2 linked regions of the Oryzias latipes genome follow. The protein of the gene in region 2 interacts with the protein of the main gene of each other region in a biochemical or structural test. Links are inferred from orthologs where the notes say so. Each region holds a gene or a part of one and is shown on either strand. Other genes may lie near its edges.

Evidence for each region.
Region 1: of the proteins of rock1 (region 2) and limk2, one has a biochemical effect on the other in vitro, tested with the Homo sapiens proteins (2 studies listed by BioGRID). The link is inferred for Oryzias latipes from reciprocal best matches to the Homo sapiens genes ROCK1 and LIMK2.

What each region holds. Positions count from the first base shown.
Region 1 is NC_019876.2:4,300,570-4,304,639, forward strand, and holds the start of limk2 (LIM domain kinase 2), read left to right. Parts: upstream 1-1,270; 5' UTR 1,271-1,558; coding exon 1,559-1,574; intron 1,575-1,716; coding exon 1,717-1,801; intron 1,802-4,070. UniProt on the Homo sapiens protein: Serine/threonine-protein kinase that plays an essential role in the regulation of actin filament dynamics. Acts downstream of several Rho family GTPase signal transduction pathways.
Region 2 is NC_019875.2:28,418,944-28,422,869, forward strand, and holds the start of rock1 (rho-associated protein kinase 1), read right to left. Parts: upstream 2,801-3,926; 5' UTR 1,982-2,800; coding exon 1,889-1,981; intron 1-1,888. UniProt on the Homo sapiens protein: Protein kinase which is a key regulator of the actin cytoskeleton and cell polarity.

The DNA.
Region 1 (4,070 bases), on a different chromosome or scaffold from region 2:
ACCGTGTAGTTAAAAGTGCAACATGACATCTTCTTTTTCTTTCAGCTTTTCCCTTAAGGATTGAAACAGCAAATCAGCTTCCGCCATCTAATCCTGTCTTCTGCATCCTTTACTCCAACACCAGGTACCTTCATGTCTGTGTTCAGTGCATCCATAAAACTCCTCTTTGGTCTTCCTCTAGTCTCGTGCCCTAGACCTCTTGCCTTGCAGCTCTAGACTCAGCATCCTTCTACCAATATATTCCGACTCTCTCCCCCACATGTCCAAAAACGGGCTTGGGACTTGTACATGAGACCCTGGCTTGGGTCTCCTCACAGCTACATTATATGACATTAAAAATATGGATTTGGATGTTAAAATTCGATTTTGTGATGATAAATTCTTAAAAATCATACTAAAAATTTCAACTCAGTTGGTTAAATGCCGTACTAGCACACGGGAAATCAGGGATTGATTCTCATGGGGTTCAATGAGCTAGATCTTCTGTTGGTCCTTGAGCAAGACCTTTCAAGCTACTGCCTAACAATGTAGCCACAAGGGATTCAGGTCTGAGTCTCCATGTGCCTGTCCCCAGCCCGGATAAAATGCAGGGTTGCATCAGGAAGGGGATCCGGAGTAAAAATCTCTACCAAACTGTTTGAATTGGTGAAAGCTGATTCACTTTGGCAACCCCTGACGGGATAGTAAAGGTGAAGAACATACAGTGATAAAACAGATGAAAAATGGTCAGCAAAAACATAAAACTCTTCTATGTTCATTTTAAATATACCTAGTGTATCATTCATTTATCTTCTAATCCGTTTTGTCCCTTTTGAGGTCACAGGGCTGCTGGAGTCTATCCCGACTTGCGGGCGAGGACAGTGGACACCCCGGACAGGTCGCCAGTGTTTCGCAGGGCCACAATCACACATCCATGCAGACTCACATTCACACCTATGGACAATTTAGTGTAACCAATTAACCTATGAAGCATGTTTTTGGATGGTGGGAAGAAGCCAAAGTACCCAGGTCCCCCATTGATGTTCAGTTTCACTGAGCACCCTTACCTAGAGTATCTTTAACTGAATATATTTGATGTTAAATCTTAATCGAAACTTATTTTATTCAAAGTGTTTGTCGTAGTAAATGGAATGAAAATGTATCAAAGTGAAAACTTTTTGAAGGCCCAAAATGCAAAATTTTGTCGCTTCATTTGCAGAGCATTCTCTCGCCAGTAGATGGCGCCACCACCGTTCATTCTCAGTGTGCGAGCGCTCCTCGGCACGCTCCTGCTTCCAGGTGCTGCAGTTGAGCCCTTCCGCTCTCCGTAGAGGAATGTGGAGACTTCATTACGTCAGCGGTTGCCCCGCAGCGACAGCGGCGCAGTCTCGGAGGTGATTGTTGTCCTCCTCGGGGGTATCTTCAAACAGAAATTAGTCAGTGCGGTCTTCCTGCCGCGTCCTGAGCCTGGAGTTTGAGAGTCTAGAGCGGGCGGATGAAAGCTTGAGGCGGCACATGACAGCTCCTCCTTCCCTCATTATGAGGACTCAGTAGAAGCTGGAACACGACGACGGAGTAGATGGATGAGCTAGAAAGTAAGATTTTATGTCACGTTAACGTAAGGTTATGAATACCGTCGGGAAGCATCCTGCATGAAGCGAACGGTTGTTCGTTTTTAATATGGTCCTCGCTTTGTTTCAGCCTTTTGTCTCTTTTTTTTTTCTTTTGTCTTTGCAGGTTTCTGTGCGGGCTGTAGAGGCAAAATCCAGGACTCGTTTCACACGAAGGTCCTCCAGGAAACCTGGCACAACGCCTGCTTCCAGTGAGTGGTCTCCGGTTCTGCTTCCAAGCGTTCCTCTGTTAATGAGCACAGCTTTGTTCGAGTGGTGACCGGGAGGTTTTGGCTTTTAGAAGGATGCCTGGAAGCAGGTTTTCTCGCTTCTTCCTCGTAACGTTTGGTTTATTGTCTGCTTTGTGTCGTTTTGTGGCTTTTTCAAATTTCAGTCGAACTTATTTAATTTAAATGTCGTTTAAACACTTTCAGTCTCTGTGCCACGTGAAGCTAAAATCACCTTGAGATGTTCCAAACCTGCTCTCGCGCTGCGGACACGTGACCGCGCAATTGACAGATTGACTAATTATTAATTAACTGAGCTGGATCTGCCAGCAAATGCCCATCTTCATTCATGAATCCAAACCGTCTTTTGGAGAAAAATAAATAAATAACCACTTTTCAATTTTTTAAAATGTTGATGTCGTTTTTCTTTTATATTTTTGCTTAAAATATTTATAAGTTTCAAAAATGAAAGATTAATTTTTACTTTTATTGAACGTTTATTGCATTATCGATCGAGATATATCTTTTAAGTTAACCATAACCATGGCTTCTAAACAGGTTTGAATGAAATTGTCAACATTTGCATTATAAATATATCAAAAAATCAAAGTGCTTTTTATTTAATCTGCACACTTCTCACTGGCAATGGTAAATGTTTTTTGTGTCTAAAAAACGGGCTTGTTTCACACTAATCAAGTAGAAATTTGAAAGATCTTAAGAATTTTTCCTGTCTGTTCAAGACACTGATAAAAAAAACGACTTGTTAATATGAAGTATAGTTTCATTTTTTTTTTACATTTCTGGTTGTAGTGTTTCTTTGGATTTTTTTGTTTTTGGTCAAGAAAAACTTCTACTTTGGCTCAACGCCTGTTGAAGAACACTGACGTACACTACAAGAAAATATGCCTATTTTTATTGAATGAAACCAATAAAAATGTAGCTTAAAGACTGACTCCAATGAAAATTGTGTCATGATAAAGGACATTTAGAAAGAAAAAGATGCTTAAAATTGCTGCTCACCTGGATAAGCCTAGAGAATCAGTCAGGAGCAGACGAAAAAAAGCAGTTGGAAAAAAGCCTGTACTTGTTAAAATCTCCAATCAGCAGATCACAAACTCCCGGCTCCGCTCCATTCTGATGCATCCATTTCCAGACAAATGGATCCAAGTACGTCTTTTTTTTTCCTAGGCTGAGCTGGCATCTGGATAAAAACTTTACAGCTGGATAGCTCCAATGTTGCTCGCTGTTTTTGTTGCACTGGTAATATTAGATTGGGGCTGTAAGCTAACGGGAGATGATGGTAAATGAAGGCAGGCTCACTCCATGCCAACGGCTCCTTCCCTTCAATTTCTGGAGAAACTATGTTCTAGTAAACAGGTTTTTTGATTTTGACTACAAATGTTAATGTTTTTAGAGGGGGAACTGACAAAACATGACCTTAAACGAGTTGATAAAACAAAAGAAAAATAAGTGTAATCGTTGGTGAATAAACTGTGTAAAAAAAAAATTTGTAAATGCTTAGCTAAATATGAAGTGGACATAAATGACTGGGATTAAACCTTTTCATTGTGTAGAAGCTAAAAACATATATCTTCCTGAGCTTTAAGCCATCGTCTTTATCCTTTTCCATTAATTTCCTGACATTTTCTTTATTCTCCTCTGCAGAGGTTTTCATTTAAAGCCTAATGGAAATGAGATGTTTGTCTTCCTCAGGTTTGACTCCAAAGTTTACAGATAATGGCCGGTGCGATAAACAGACTCTTATCTAGAAGCACACTCTCTGCACAACTATAATCCCTCAAACAACCCGCCTAAAACGTGTTCTAACTGCTCTCATACCCTTTTGTGTTCCTGCTCCTCATTGTCCACATGCTGCCACTCTACCCTGTGTACCTCTACCTTGTGTAACATTCTTGGGAGTTGAGCTCACTCCTGTTCCAATAAACCTGGTGGTGCTGCCCTGAGCCATAGGTAACACCACACTCAACTTCACTGTTTTCTGCATTCCTAGACGCCGATTCATATCACCCAATCTCTGTCTCAGACACTTTTGGCACAAAAGTCCAGGCTTTGTTTTTTGTTTTTTAACAATGGGGCTTCTTCCTTTTTCTTATCAGCCTGCTTTGTGCTTAATTATCCTCCCATGAGTGAGAAAATTGAAGTGGAAGTTGTTGTTTTTTACTTTTTTAACTTAAATCTTGGTTTTTAACCTAAATTTTCGGCTCAAGGAAAGTTTGTTTTTTCTAGACTTTTA
Region 2 (3,926 bases):
TGCTCTTTTGTTTTTAATCTAATAATTCATGGATCCTACACAACCACCATATTGTAATTTGTTAAAAATTACAGACCTGCAGTACGGAGACCCTAAAATATTTACTGAAATGAAATCAAGTAGAGCAGCCAATTCATTAAATCTGTTGCAACTTAACCACAAACAACAGGTGTGACCGTGTCAGGCCCTGGCTAATTTCAGCAAATGTCAACATATCACCAACAAGATATTTGCACTAATAACACCGAGCATATGATCACAACAGTTTCCATGAGTAACTGGGAGCCAAATCCCTGTGAAAACACTCGCTGTCACTGTCGCTAAAGCTGAAATACTCCTCCTATCAACAAACCCTTGACTCAACAACATTCCCTTGGCATTCACTTCACAGTGAGTCAGTTCCCAAGACTCTCTTTATCATCAGTCAGATCAATTCAGGGGTTGACACCTATTAGACTGTAGAACAGCAAAAATGTACCTGATGCCTGCAGGTTATAGAAAGCCTACAAAACAGGCCGACCTATTTAAAGGTTAGAAAAAAAATGCATATAATAAGGGGGAAAAAAACACTTTGAAGTATCCAAACACCATATAGTACAAAAACATTCACAAGAGTTAAAGATTTGCTCATCTAAAGGTATTCTGGCTTACGGATAGAGCAGCCATAGCTCTTTTTCCAGTGTTGACTATAATCAGAAATCGAAGGATTTTGATCATACATGGAAAAAATAGGGAAACAAATCAATAGAAAGATACAGACCCAGGGTGAAAAGACCCCCTTTTTTGAACATCCATTCACCAAAACTTAAACCAAATTTCTTAAGAGATGCAGAGATGGTCAACACTAAAATAAAATAACTCCACTGGTTATCAAAGATAAAAACATATATAACATCTAAGGAGTAGAAACAGATTAATCATATAGATAAAACCGATAAAAACTAGAAGGAGCTGCATTTCCAGAAGGAAATACAGGGTTGAATGCTCTATTGCTGAATGAAAATTAAACTTAAAGGGTAATAATTGGCACATAAAAAATATAAAATACAGAAATGGTCAACGTTGACCATAAATAAAGTGAAAACAGCACAATAACAGAACAGATATTTTTGTGAAAAATGCCAGCGCCGGGTATCGAACCAGCGAGCTTCTGCACCAAGGATTCCCCATGTATTTCAATGGAGGCAAAAATCCTGGAAATCCTGGAATATCTTGAAAAGTTCAGGGATTTGAAGGAGCAAAAGTCACAGCTGGAAAAAGCTGAAAGAGCTGAACATTTTAACAGTTGTATGGTTAAAATAGCTGAAAAATTGTAGAAGGAGTTAAGCGGGGAAAAAAATGGCAGAAGAGACTATAATAAAGAAAGAGAAACAGGAAAAGAATTAATAAATGCATACTAAGATAACAGCATGTAAAACTATCTACAGTTTTTAACTGTCTAAAAGTGAAGTCATTTATTAAATGTGGCCAATCCCTAAGCAATTCAACATCCCTGTCACATAAACAGCTGGAAATAAGTGACAAGTTTGTCCTATTTTTTCATTAATTCTCTGTTTTAGCTCTGAGTCAAAAGCTTCATCATTTAGAGGGCCGGTGGTTTAGAAAACATGAGTCACAGCAGCTAAAAGGCACACAGACAGATGAATGTGATGTCCTCCTCATTCAACGTTTATTGTATTCTGGTGCGCATGTGTGTCGGCGGCAGACGAAGTGTGTGAACTTAATCGACCTGTCAGTGTCGGGGGTTCGAGCGCCGACAAACCGCTGGTCTCAAAGACAGACAGAAAGACAGAGCTCTGCTCCGACTGAGGAGTAGGCTGACCCTGAACCGCACACTGCGCTCTGTTAGCTAGCTGGCTAGCTCACAAGCTACACAGACTTTACTTACCAGAAGACAATCCGTGTTTATTTCCGACTTTGGGTCCTTCAACATGGCATCGATTTTTTCAAACCGACCCTCCATGTTTATCTCGGAGGACATTTTCCTGCCAAACTTAGTCCCCCGTGTTGAGTTAAAAACAAAAAAAGAGCTCCCTGGCGAGGCGGTGGAATGGCTAGCAGTTAGCCGCGGCGCTAGCTAGATGGCCAAACGTCCCTTTCTTCGCGCAAACTTTTCCACCGCGCTTCAGAGAAAATGCATCCTCCTCCGGAAATTTCCACAAAAAATCGAGACGTTAACGGGGCACTGGACACGCCACATGATTGTCGAAGTCGGAAGATGTTTTCCCGTCCGTGAGTGGCAAACAACTTCCGTGCAAAGATAATTGCGGCGACAGATTAGGATGCCACTGAGGATAAGGGCTTAAAACGCTGCTGCATCGAAACAAAAGACAAATAACACGTTCGTGCAAAATCTTCCCGAAAAGTTTTTTTTTTTTTTTAATGTTTGAAAGTTGGCTAGTCCGGGCCCGTTTCCATGTTTCGCAGGCCTAGTTTGGAGGAAACGACTGAATGATTCTGACAGCTCAAAAGTAGAAGTGGTGGAGAAAAAAACTTCTGCTTCTTCCAAATTTCGAACAGTTTAAAACGAGGAGTCGCTGAACGTTGAACGGCAGCCCTTCCGCTTCGCCCCGGTGTCTGTCAAGGCCCGTCGAATAGTTCCCGTCCGGCTGCCGGAACTCCTCCGCGGGGTAGAACTACGATCCAACTTGGCTGGATGTTGTTTTTTCGGAATACAATCGCAGACTGTGACCGAATTTCTCATACAGCCTGACCAACATGTCCGCCTTCCTGTTCAAACACTCCGGAGAAGCTACTTCAAAATGTCAAGTACTGCGCATGTGCCGCTCCGAGGCGCGTTCAAAGATTGAACGGAGGAAACACGTCGATGTCTCAGGGAGCCAGAGCGCCCGCGTGCTCCTGATTTTAGACCTATTTCCTGATTAGTTTTGACAGAAAACTACAAAAGTTTGTACAATAATAAAGATAGGGTAGAGTTAAGCATGACTATCAAGGTTATTGAGATTTAAAACATTTTGATTCCAATAGCCCTGTTTATGCATTCTGAAAATCAGATCATAATCTGTTCCTTTTGTTTTCAAGTCATATCAATAATGTAATCTTATTTACTTTGTCCAATTATGCCAAATTTAATGGTAAATCATATTGATGCTTAGAATTTATGTCAATATTCTACTTTCGTCCTGTATAGATAACTATGTATACCCTTAGAAGCATATTATGGCATAAATAAACACATAAAATAAAACTGTTTGGCCACCTTTATAGGCAGTTATTTAAATAAAATAAAAAAAGTGGCCCCTTTGGAACGATCAAAACTAAAATCATGGTTTGATTTAATCTTGGTTTCAATTTATTTTAAGGAGTACATGACCAAAATTGTTTTCTGAAGAAATTCCTTTTTAAATTTCACAATATTAGTACGGTAGATGTACCATTAAAGACAGTACCACTGCAGTCAACTTTATTATTATCATATATAATAATAATATTGCTCTTAATAATATTGTTATTACTAAAATTGTTATTTCTTATTTTTCATCATTTCTTTCAAGTGTAGTTAGTGTTATTATCCATCTTCTGTTTTTAATAGTTGTTGTAACAAGATAATTTCCCCTTTATGTGGTCAAAGATTTATTCTATTCTATTATTTATTTAGTTAGTTACATTTTTTTACTTTAAGGATATACATGCTAATGTTGTTGGCACAATATCAGAATCAGTAAGTAACTGCGTTAAAAGATCTGCTTTGGCCATTTGGCCTGGAAGGATAAACAGCTGTCCAGGCAAAAGGTGCAGCCTGACTGAAACCATTCTGAGCGTCAGTGATGTGCAGGAATTTAAAAATCTTAAATGGACAATAAACGTTTTGACTGATATTCTTCTAAAGCAGCAGGGATGGTAGAAAATAAAAATGTAACAACAAAAAAGCCCTTAATTTACTAAAATTGAAAATCTGTGTTATG